2 linked regions of the Drosophila melanogaster genome follow. The protein of the gene in region 2 interacts with the protein of the main gene of each other region in a biochemical or structural test. Each region holds a gene or a part of one and is shown on either strand. Other genes may lie near its edges. The genes, in order: kel and Act79B.

Region 1 (4,950 bases), on a different chromosome or scaffold from region 2:
AACACAAGCAGTTAGTAATGGGGCGCAAGGAATGAGAGGAGTGGGCTAAGTAAATTTAATTAATCGCAACCGGTTCAATGGTTTATATTGCACATTTGCTTTCGGTTTTGCGTCTGTTTACTGTTATATAAACTTAATAATTAACTAATTTTGTTTCTGCCTGATGAAATCAATGAGAACTTATATAATTCTGATACTTTGGTTATTACTAATTCAGTAGTTGAATTCGAAAATATAATTAATATAAGATTAAATTCGTGATCTTATGGAAACCCAAAATTAGCGACTTCAAACAGATGCTGGAAGACACCAATGCGTGACTGTTAAACTATTTAAATTTTGATACATTCCAAACACACCTAGGAATTTAATCGTTTTTATAATATAATTAAAAATCCTTTTTGTTGAGTCTAAGGAACTTTAACTTGACACATGTTATTAAATGTTACTATAATTATTAAAATATCTGATCCCATTAATCGATTCAATTGATATTGTTGTACGGCAGCTTTCTATCCTCAATAAATAATAAATAAATAGTCACTTCACTGGAATTTAAATACGAATTACTATCCGTAGATATAGAACAAACTAAAGTGAGTCTTCCCAATATACATGCTCTAAAAGTGAACACTGAACAGATACAGTAATGGATTCCTATCTGTAAACAGGCAAATCAAAACAATTTTATATTTGTCTGCCCATACTGCGTCATCACAATCTAGCCACTTACTTGAAATGCTGCTCGATGTAGGTCTCTGCGTAATTGAGAAGTTCCACGCAGGCATGAATATCGGCAAACTCCCGGATGCCGAGGCAATTACTGGCATCCAACTGAGTTTGCAGGAAGTCGCAGCAGGCATCTCGCACATCCGTGAGCTGGAGCAGGTTGGCGGCGGTCAAGAGGACTTGCACGTTATCCTCGTTTACCTCCACCGTGGCAGTGTATACGTAGTCGATGAGCAGCTCCAAGGCCCGAGCATCGACACTCTGGAGGGTGATCCTCGCCTGCCGCGACTCCTCGAAACTGGTGAACATCGCATAGAAGTACGGACTGCAGGAGGCCAGCACCATGCGGTGAGCGTGGATCTCCACATCGTCGGCCACCAATATCACATCACAGAGCTGTTTTTGTCTGTTATAGGTAAAAATATATATATATCAGATTTGATACATTTTTTTGTACGCAGTAAATTGGTTAGTAACCGTCATGTATCGACAATATTGAGACTTTGAAATCCACTAGCAATAGATCGTTTTGATTGCCAAATAAACAGTTTAAAAGCGTGCTAAATATCTTCAAGGCTGGTATGTATGTTTGTAAACAAAAGTGCTTGAATTTTTTCAAGAGGAAAATATTTTGTTTTGTAAAAAGAGACGGGGATGCTATTAACTGTGCAAATTATGGCGCCATTAAATGATGATGACTACTCGAAAAGACTAAGATCTTTTGTCTTCAAAATCGTAAGGTGTTATAATTATAACCCAATAAAAAAAATCTCATAGAATATACACCTCACGAAATATTTGTGTGATTCAATTCCCAATCAAAAAGCAATCCACATTACAACGCTCGGCTTACTTTTTGGGTTATACCACATTCACTTTCGCGCCGAATACGATATGATTGGTCCGAAAAAAAAAACTCGTTTTATGTAAGCTACCAATAAATTTTCCATACGCCCAGTAGTTTTCCAAAAAGTAAGCAAAGGCGGAGACGCGGAAGCGGAATCGAAATGCGATTCGAAAACGAATATCATTTTTGGCCGCAACCAAGTTCAAGGTCGTGGCCCAATGCGAAACCCGAAGGCGTAAGCAACTCATCATAATAAAAACTAGACAATAATTAATGCGAATGGCCCCACGACAAAAGCGGCGGCAAATATTCGTTTATACATATGTAGTGTGCAAACACAAATATTAGCAACGGCCAGATAAACAAAGCGAACTGCGCAAATATGCGAGAGACGATCATCTGACATTTTCAGAGATTTTATTTTCGCATCTTGGCCCAAATCTCAAAGCTCGAGAGCCAGTCGGTCCACCTGTTCCCGTCGAACACGCAGGGATTGAATCATGCGCCTTTGTCCGGGAACAGAGGAGATGAGTTTATAATAGAGTGTAGTTAGCACAGTTCTATTTATATTAAGTTGAGGTAGGTCGTCATATTTAACAACTGAAAGTTTTAGTGGTAGAAACTCAGATCAGCTTGTTTTGTCAAGGAAATAGTAACTGGGAAATAGCTGACACCTTTTTAGAACCTGAACGAACGTTCAGCTGGTTTGCTGTTGAGCAAACAAATGACATTTGAAACATTTTTCGAACCGTTGTAGGTGTGCTTATTTACATAATCAGGCTATAAAATCACATAGATCTAATTCTGCATATCATTAAAAGTCCTATGTGGGTGCTGTGTGTTCTATTCTCCAGGGCAGGTACAAAATAACCAATGTTCTACCTAAGGTTTTTAAAACCTCTCACAGGTAGGAATTAGGATATAATACTATTTGTGGATCTAAATATACTGCCTTAAGGTCTTTAGAAACCCTGGCTACTTCTTTATGATGCTTAAGGACTTAACCAAATTTTATAGTCGTACGAACTGATCCTTCGACAGGATCTCGTGCCATCCTTACTTTCTCATCTCGTTCATGGCGTCGAAGGAGCGCGCCGTATGCTGTTCATTGCTGTACTGCCCCACAGTGCCGCGCTCCTTGCCATTTGGCCGCTGGACGTGCTTCTGGGAGCTCTCGTCCAGGGAGTTCTGGCTGGCGTAGCGCAGAAGGCAGCTGCCCCGCTCCAGGCCACTTCCCTCGGCGGCGGGATTCTGATGGTGGTGGTGCTGCTGCTGTTGCTGCTGCAGCAGGCGGTTGCGCTGCTGCATGGCTGCCACGCCCACTGCGGCACCTAGTCCGGGCGGTGGCGCCACGAACTCCGCTCCCGCTCCGCCTTCATTCTGTGCTGGTTGTTGTGGGTTCTGACCCTGTTGTTGTTGCTGCTGCTGCTGGTTGTTGTTGTTGCTGTTGCCATTGCTTAGGTTGCTCATAATACCGATCGTATATTTGGTTAGCAGCGCACTCAGAGCTATCATCCGAAACGGATCGGAAACGGAAGTCGCAGCGAATCGAAGGTGCCTCGCCTGGTCCGAAAAAACAAACCGAGGTGGTGAAAAATTGTACACTTTTTGGACGCGACCAGAGCAGTGTGACCAGCCTCGGGTTGGTCGCAAGTTACCACTAGCGATGAATACTCATCGATAGTCCGATAGGCATTTTCAACCAGTTCTCACTGAGCTGGCTTTGTTTCCAACTATAAAATTAATGATAAAGTCATTTAATTTTTGAATTTTTGTAATTCACTTGAATTACATCTTAAATATGACCTCTCCCCTTTAATTTTTATTTATACGTACGTTTCAAAAAGTGTGATTTTTAAATTGATATACAAACTAATATTCCACATTTACCTAAACTTAAAAAAAGCATACCTAATTCATCTTATAAAAATATATAAATAAAATTGCAAAAAGATTACAAATATGCGACACAGAATTCATTAAGATTGCATATTCGAATTCCATAAAAGAAAGTAAAAAAGGTTTAGTTCAGCATAATCTTGATAGAATATCTATAGATATTTTATAGATATAAAATAAAATAAATAGAAATCTATAGATTTTAGTTGATTACTCTCATTTTATAAAGAATTCACGACTTTATAATGAAAATAACGAATGAGTTAAACATTCATTTGTTAAAGATATTAAAATACATCAATCATTTGGGTTGATTATGATTCCACACTTCTGATTCAAAACACACTTTGAGATTTTTTCTAATATCTTGATCAACTTTATTTGTTTGACTCTTTTTTCGATTTTGTTTTTGAATATTGATACGCATGCTCATCAACATGTGAGATATGTAAAATACATTAAATAGGTATTGGAAACAACTGCTTATTGAATGTTTACGAATAACAGCAACCACCTAGGTAGGAATACATGATTTATAATTCATTATATTAATATAGCTACAGCTTAATGCGAAAATCGGTAGTATTTACAAATGCTCTACACGTGTACAACTGACGGGTTTTTTCTTTTTAAACAAAGCACTCGCTTGCGAACGAAATCACTTCGAATAAATAAATAAAGTATATTCATAAATAGGCGAAAATTACATTTGGAAATTTGGCTAATGAGAGAGTTTTACACTAACTAAGCTGCATTCGTATCTCGTATTTACACGTAACAGTAACACATCATTTAGATTCCATACTTCAAATAAATACAATGAAATATTACAAGAATACCAGCGATTACGAAAAGCTCGATTGGCCCTTCTTTTTGCAATACTTATGTGTGTAGGAGAGAGGGTTGCTTTAGATAATAATACTTAGTTTATAGTACAATTAGCTAACTGCGATTTCGATTCTACATTCTACCAGCTCGCTTTCAAGAGTGCCACAACTCAAAAATCCGTCCGAGCTGCATTCCAATAGGTGAGATATATATGGTGAACATTTGGTTTTTGATCCATGACAGTCTTGTAGTAGCGAGCTAGCGATTTTGTTATGTGGCTTCGCGTTTGATCTTTTAACTTATGGTGGCGGCACACGCTGCACTGGGATTGTCTCAGTTTGAGTTTTGGTTTCTGGGTTCTGTTTGCCCCTCCGTCCACGTCCTGATCCTCAGGAGGAGTTGGAGTGACGCTCCGGCGTGGCGACAGTCTTCTGGTAGCAATTCAGATTGGCCGACATCCGACCAAAGGCGGCTGCCATGCGGTTGGGCAGCCTGCTGAGGTGCTCCTGAAGATTGGACGATCTGGATGAGGACGGAGCCGATGGGCCCGACGCCGTGGTGACCTGCTGCAGCTGGGCCACCACCTCGGCGTGCTGAACGTAGGAGACCCGTATGTTGACCCCCTCGTCGTCGTCCTCGTCCACCTC
Region 2 (4,456 bases):
ATCCCCAGGACTGCATCTCTAAAATCATAATTGGCAAGGTTTTGGGGCAAGATTTTGGGTGCCCAAAAACATCAAGAATGCACGTGCTCCCTAGTCATTAGAAGAGTTTCCGTGTTACTGACGACTTAGCAGCAGACATTAGACCAATAAACCCAGTTAGACTCTTTTCTTTGGCGACTCCAGCAAGCTTGGCCCTAACTAATTAAGCAACAGTTTTCGGCACCTGGTTTATGCATAGTTTGGCGAAACCTCAAAAGTTTGCAGCCAAAAGTTGAGCACAAACATTTATGTTGGCGAAAAGTTCTGTGAGCAGTTGGGCTCCAGTTAAGACTGTCGCTGCTCCTTGTATTTCCGACTTCAGTCCTCCAGAAGTCATTCCTCGCAACCTCTCTTCGTGTGGAAAATCCATCTGGGTTTGTGAAAATGTGACAGAAGAGCATGCGGGGGGATAGATGCACAGATACAGATACAGATACAGATACAGATACAGATACCCGTACTGGGGGATTGCCATGGCAGCTGTTAGAGAATAAAAGTTGGCCGGCAAGTGCCTGATTGACATTCGTCGAGGCCTAATTAAAAAAGTTTCCCCACCACGCATTCCTGCTGCTCCTGTGACGTTCGACTTGGGTTCGATTCACATGGGTTATTGGTTTTTATTGTACGTACAACCGATTGTTTTGGCCACTTTACGCGCTGGCAAGCGAGTCAAGCAGTACAAATTCCGAGTCAAATCAAATAAAAATAGCAATAATAATAAAAAAAGAAGGCGTTGCCGCTCGTTTCCGGTCTTTTCTCGTCTCTTTCTCTTGTTTTCTCTATCTATGTTAAAACTTCTTCATCAACTAAATGTAATTTAAAGATACTTTTCACTGAACTGCGTCCTCACCCTTGGCGCCGGCGCCTGGTCGGATGTCTTACGCTGGAGACAAACACCAGGGCCGCGCTCGAGGAGATGTTGATCTGGTTTGGGTGGCTTGGATGCTTAGAAGCACTTGCGGTGGACGATGCCGGGACCGGACTCGTCATACTCCTGCTTGGAGATCCACATCTGCTGGAAGGTGGACAACGAAGCCAGGATGGAGCCACCGATCCAGACGGAGTACTTGCGCTCTGGCGGGGCGATGATCTTGATCTTGATGGTGGACGGGGCAAGTGCGGTGATTTCCTTTTGCATACGGTCAGCGATACCTGAAGAGGACAGAAATAGAATCCATTAGTGGTGCTACAGAACCGAGGAGCTTTGGTGTACTCATTACATGACATTTTAATAATAGCATGCATGAATATGAGATATAGGGAAAGGATATAACCCATTAGGTGAATTCTTTTTTTTTTTTTTGTAATACTACTTTCCATAAGATTTTTTTTAACTGTTATTACAAAGCTCAGCTAAATATTTAGGCTTTATTATTTAAAGATTTCCTCTCTGCCAAATGAATGTATAAAGTAACACTTGTTTTTTTTTTTAAGTATCCCGCATAGTTTTGATCCCATTCCCTCGGAAGAATTTCCTCTGAACTTTATGGTCCTAATTAATTAAGACTACGCACCTGGATACATGGTAGTGCCGCCAGACAGCACATTGTTGGCATACAGATCCTTGCGGATGTCCACGTCGCACTTCATGATGGACTGGTAGACGGTCTCGTGGATGCCGCAGGACTCCATGCCCAGGAACGATGGCTGGAAGAGGGCCTCCGGGGTGCGGAAGCGCTCGTTGCCGATGGTGATTACCTGGCCATCGGGCAGCTCGTAAGACTTCTCCAGGGAGGTGGAGGCGGCGGCAGTGGCCATCTCCTGCTCGAAGTCCAGGGCGACGTAGCACAGCTTCTCCTTGATGTCGCGCACAATCTCGCGCTCGGCGGTGGTGGTGAAGCTGTAGCCGCGCTCGGTGAGGATCTTCATCAGGTAGTCGGTTAGATCGCGACCGGCCAGATCTAGACGAAGGATGGCGTGGGGCAGGGCATAGCCCTCATAGATGGGCACGGTGTGGGAGACACCGTCACCGGAGTCCAGGACGATACCGGTGGTACGGCCGGAGGCGTACAGGGAGAGCACGGCCTGGATGGCCACGTACATGGCCGGGGAGTTGAACGTCTCGAACATGATCTGGGTCATCTTCTCGCGGTTGGCCTTGGGGTTCAAGGGAGCCTCGGTCAGCAGAACGGGGTGCTCCTCGGGGGCCACACGCAGCTCGTTGTAGAAGGTGTGGTGCCAGACCTTCTCCATGTCATCCCAGTTGGTGATAATGCCGTGTTCGATGGGGTACTTCAGCGACAGGATACCGCGCTTGCTCTGCGCCTCGTCGCCCACGTAGCAGTCCTTCTGACCCATACCCACCATCACGCCCTGGTGACGGGGACGGCCTACGATCGAGGGGAATACGGCGCGGGGCGCGTCGTCTCCGGCGAATCCGGCCTTGCACATGCCGGAGCCGTTGTCTACGACCAGGGCTGATGCTTCTTCGTCACACATGTTTGGTTAGTTTGGTGCGGGCGGCACTACAAGGATACAGACAGATCGGTTATCCCTTATGCGGGTTACGGATTTCGGATGGGCGGACAAGACTACACTCACGACGTGTAAATCCAACAGCGACAGCGATCAGAGTGATTCGTTATGCGCTCCGGCAGCTGCATTTAAATAAGTTCTGTCCCGCCCCGCCGGCCCCACGCCCATGTCCCTGTCATCTCGAACAATTGTTCATCTAGTAACATGTTGATGAATTCCGCGATATGCAACGCTGGCTGGGGATCAGGCGTTTCCGGGGAGGGTGGTCGGATGCACATCATTTCGATTTCACAAAAGTGTTCTGATTTCGGGTATTACGCCTACGGCAACAAGTTGGATTACGAATTAAAGAACCCTAGTTAAGCCACAACTTAGAGCAACTAAATTGGTACTAGATTTCAATATAAAATAAGTTGTTTTGTAAGTTGTAAGTCTTGTTATATTGTTAGAATTTTAATCCGCACACACTTATAAGCTTGTGAAATTTGGGAAAATAAATAATTTATTGGAACGCTGGGCTTAGGCTAGATAGTTTTGATATTTATATATTGTTTTAGAATGGCAATAGTCATAAATATACATACATAATATAAATATTTATATTTATTTTATATATTGTTTTAGAATGGCAATAGTCCCAAATATACACAATAGATATATTTTTTTGACAAATAGCAAAATTGGGTATTCCAATTACTTTTAATTTAAGCATCAAATGACAGAATGTGTTAAGCCAAAGCTAACAAATGGATTTATCTAACGAGCTTCGATTTAAGCTCTGACAATAGGCTCTCCGTTTTTTGATAGAATAATTTATTTCCATCAGGCCCTAAGTCGTATTAGTCAGAGCATTATCGGGATTTTGCGTTCGTTCAGAGTATTCAATTTGCTCCATTCCCAAATACCATTTATCACTTAGTTTCATTTCGTTTTCGCTAAATTATGTCTGGCTGCCAACTTTGCTATGACTTCGACAAAGAACAGAGGAGAGAACATATCGAAATATGCGCCAGGACTTGTATAGGCATCTGTAGATATATTTTTAAGTTTTTATATAAATAAACCCCCGCAAAACGGCGGCGCAGCAACAAGAACAACCCGTGAACAATGCAATGTAGTGGCCAGCCTTTCCCCCAAGTTCTTTATCTTGGTCTTGTAGGCAGCTTTTCCCTGCTCGAGTAAGAGAAATTGGTGCCAATGCTCTTCTGGGCCCCCACTCAGTCCATAGATGGTGTGGCCCGAATGTTGTCACACTCAAAAATGCAGCCAAAGCACTTGCGTTTATACATCTTATAAATGTTGACGCTGTCGTGTGGATTTCATTGAAATCAAATTGAAAAAATAGAATCAAATAATTTTGTACGGCTATGCACGGCACATAGCCCTGTGAGCCCAAAGGAAAGTGGTTGGGGGGTTTGGCGCAGCGGTGCATGCGGCCAACAGCAATTTTGCGCCTGTCCACCGATATCGCTCGATCTCATCGTGGCATTAGCCATAAGATTAATGCCCGATATTCTAATTAAGTGTGCCCCATCCGAGGAGGTGCATGCACTCTGCTTTTACTGCAGCGAGTGCATTCCCCAAAGGAGCAAACTTCTGAGCTCCAACTTTGGCCCGTTAACTTTGCCAAGTGCTCGCCAACTGCGGAGCATTACGTGACCACCTTGCGGATCAGGTACGGACACCAACCACGTATCATTGGTCGTACGCGCGTCGAGTAGTTGAAAGAGGTAAAAATAATGCCCGCCAGCAGGGACTTGTGGTTCCTCCGACTCAGTAGATAACCGCATCCAGGGGTGGAGGAGCTCTGAATACTTCGATATATTGCAACTTTTTCAGTTCACAGCTAAATGTGGCATGGGATCGGATCAATTAAGTGGGCAGATAGTATTTGTAATCAGTGCTAAGTAAGTCTTAATTAGTTCTTAGAAGGTCTTGTTTC

Evidence for each region.
Region 1: the proteins of Act79B (region 2) and kel form a complex in vitro, tested with the Drosophila melanogaster proteins (one study listed by BioGRID).

What each region holds. Positions count from the first base shown.
Region 1 is NT_033779.5:18,134,841-18,139,790, forward strand, and holds the start of kel (kelch), read right to left. Parts: upstream 3,244-4,950; 5' UTR 3,092-3,243; coding exon 2,637-3,091; intron 1,136-2,636; coding exon 734-1,135; intron 1-733. UniProt on the Drosophila melanogaster protein: Component of ring canals that regulates the flow of cytoplasm between cells. May be involved in the regulation of cytoplasm flow from nurse cells to the oocyte during oogenesis. Binds actin.
Region 2 is NT_037436.4:21,983,373-21,987,828, reverse strand, and holds Act79B (actin 79B), read right to left. Parts: upstream 2,620-4,456; 5' UTR 2,581-2,619; exon of another isoform or gene 2,505-2,580; 5' UTR 2,479-2,504; coding exon 1,554-2,478; intron 1,192-1,553; coding exon 986-1,191; 3' UTR 639-985; downstream 1-638. UniProt on the Drosophila melanogaster protein: Actins are highly conserved proteins that are involved in various types of cell motility and are ubiquitously expressed in all eukaryotic cells.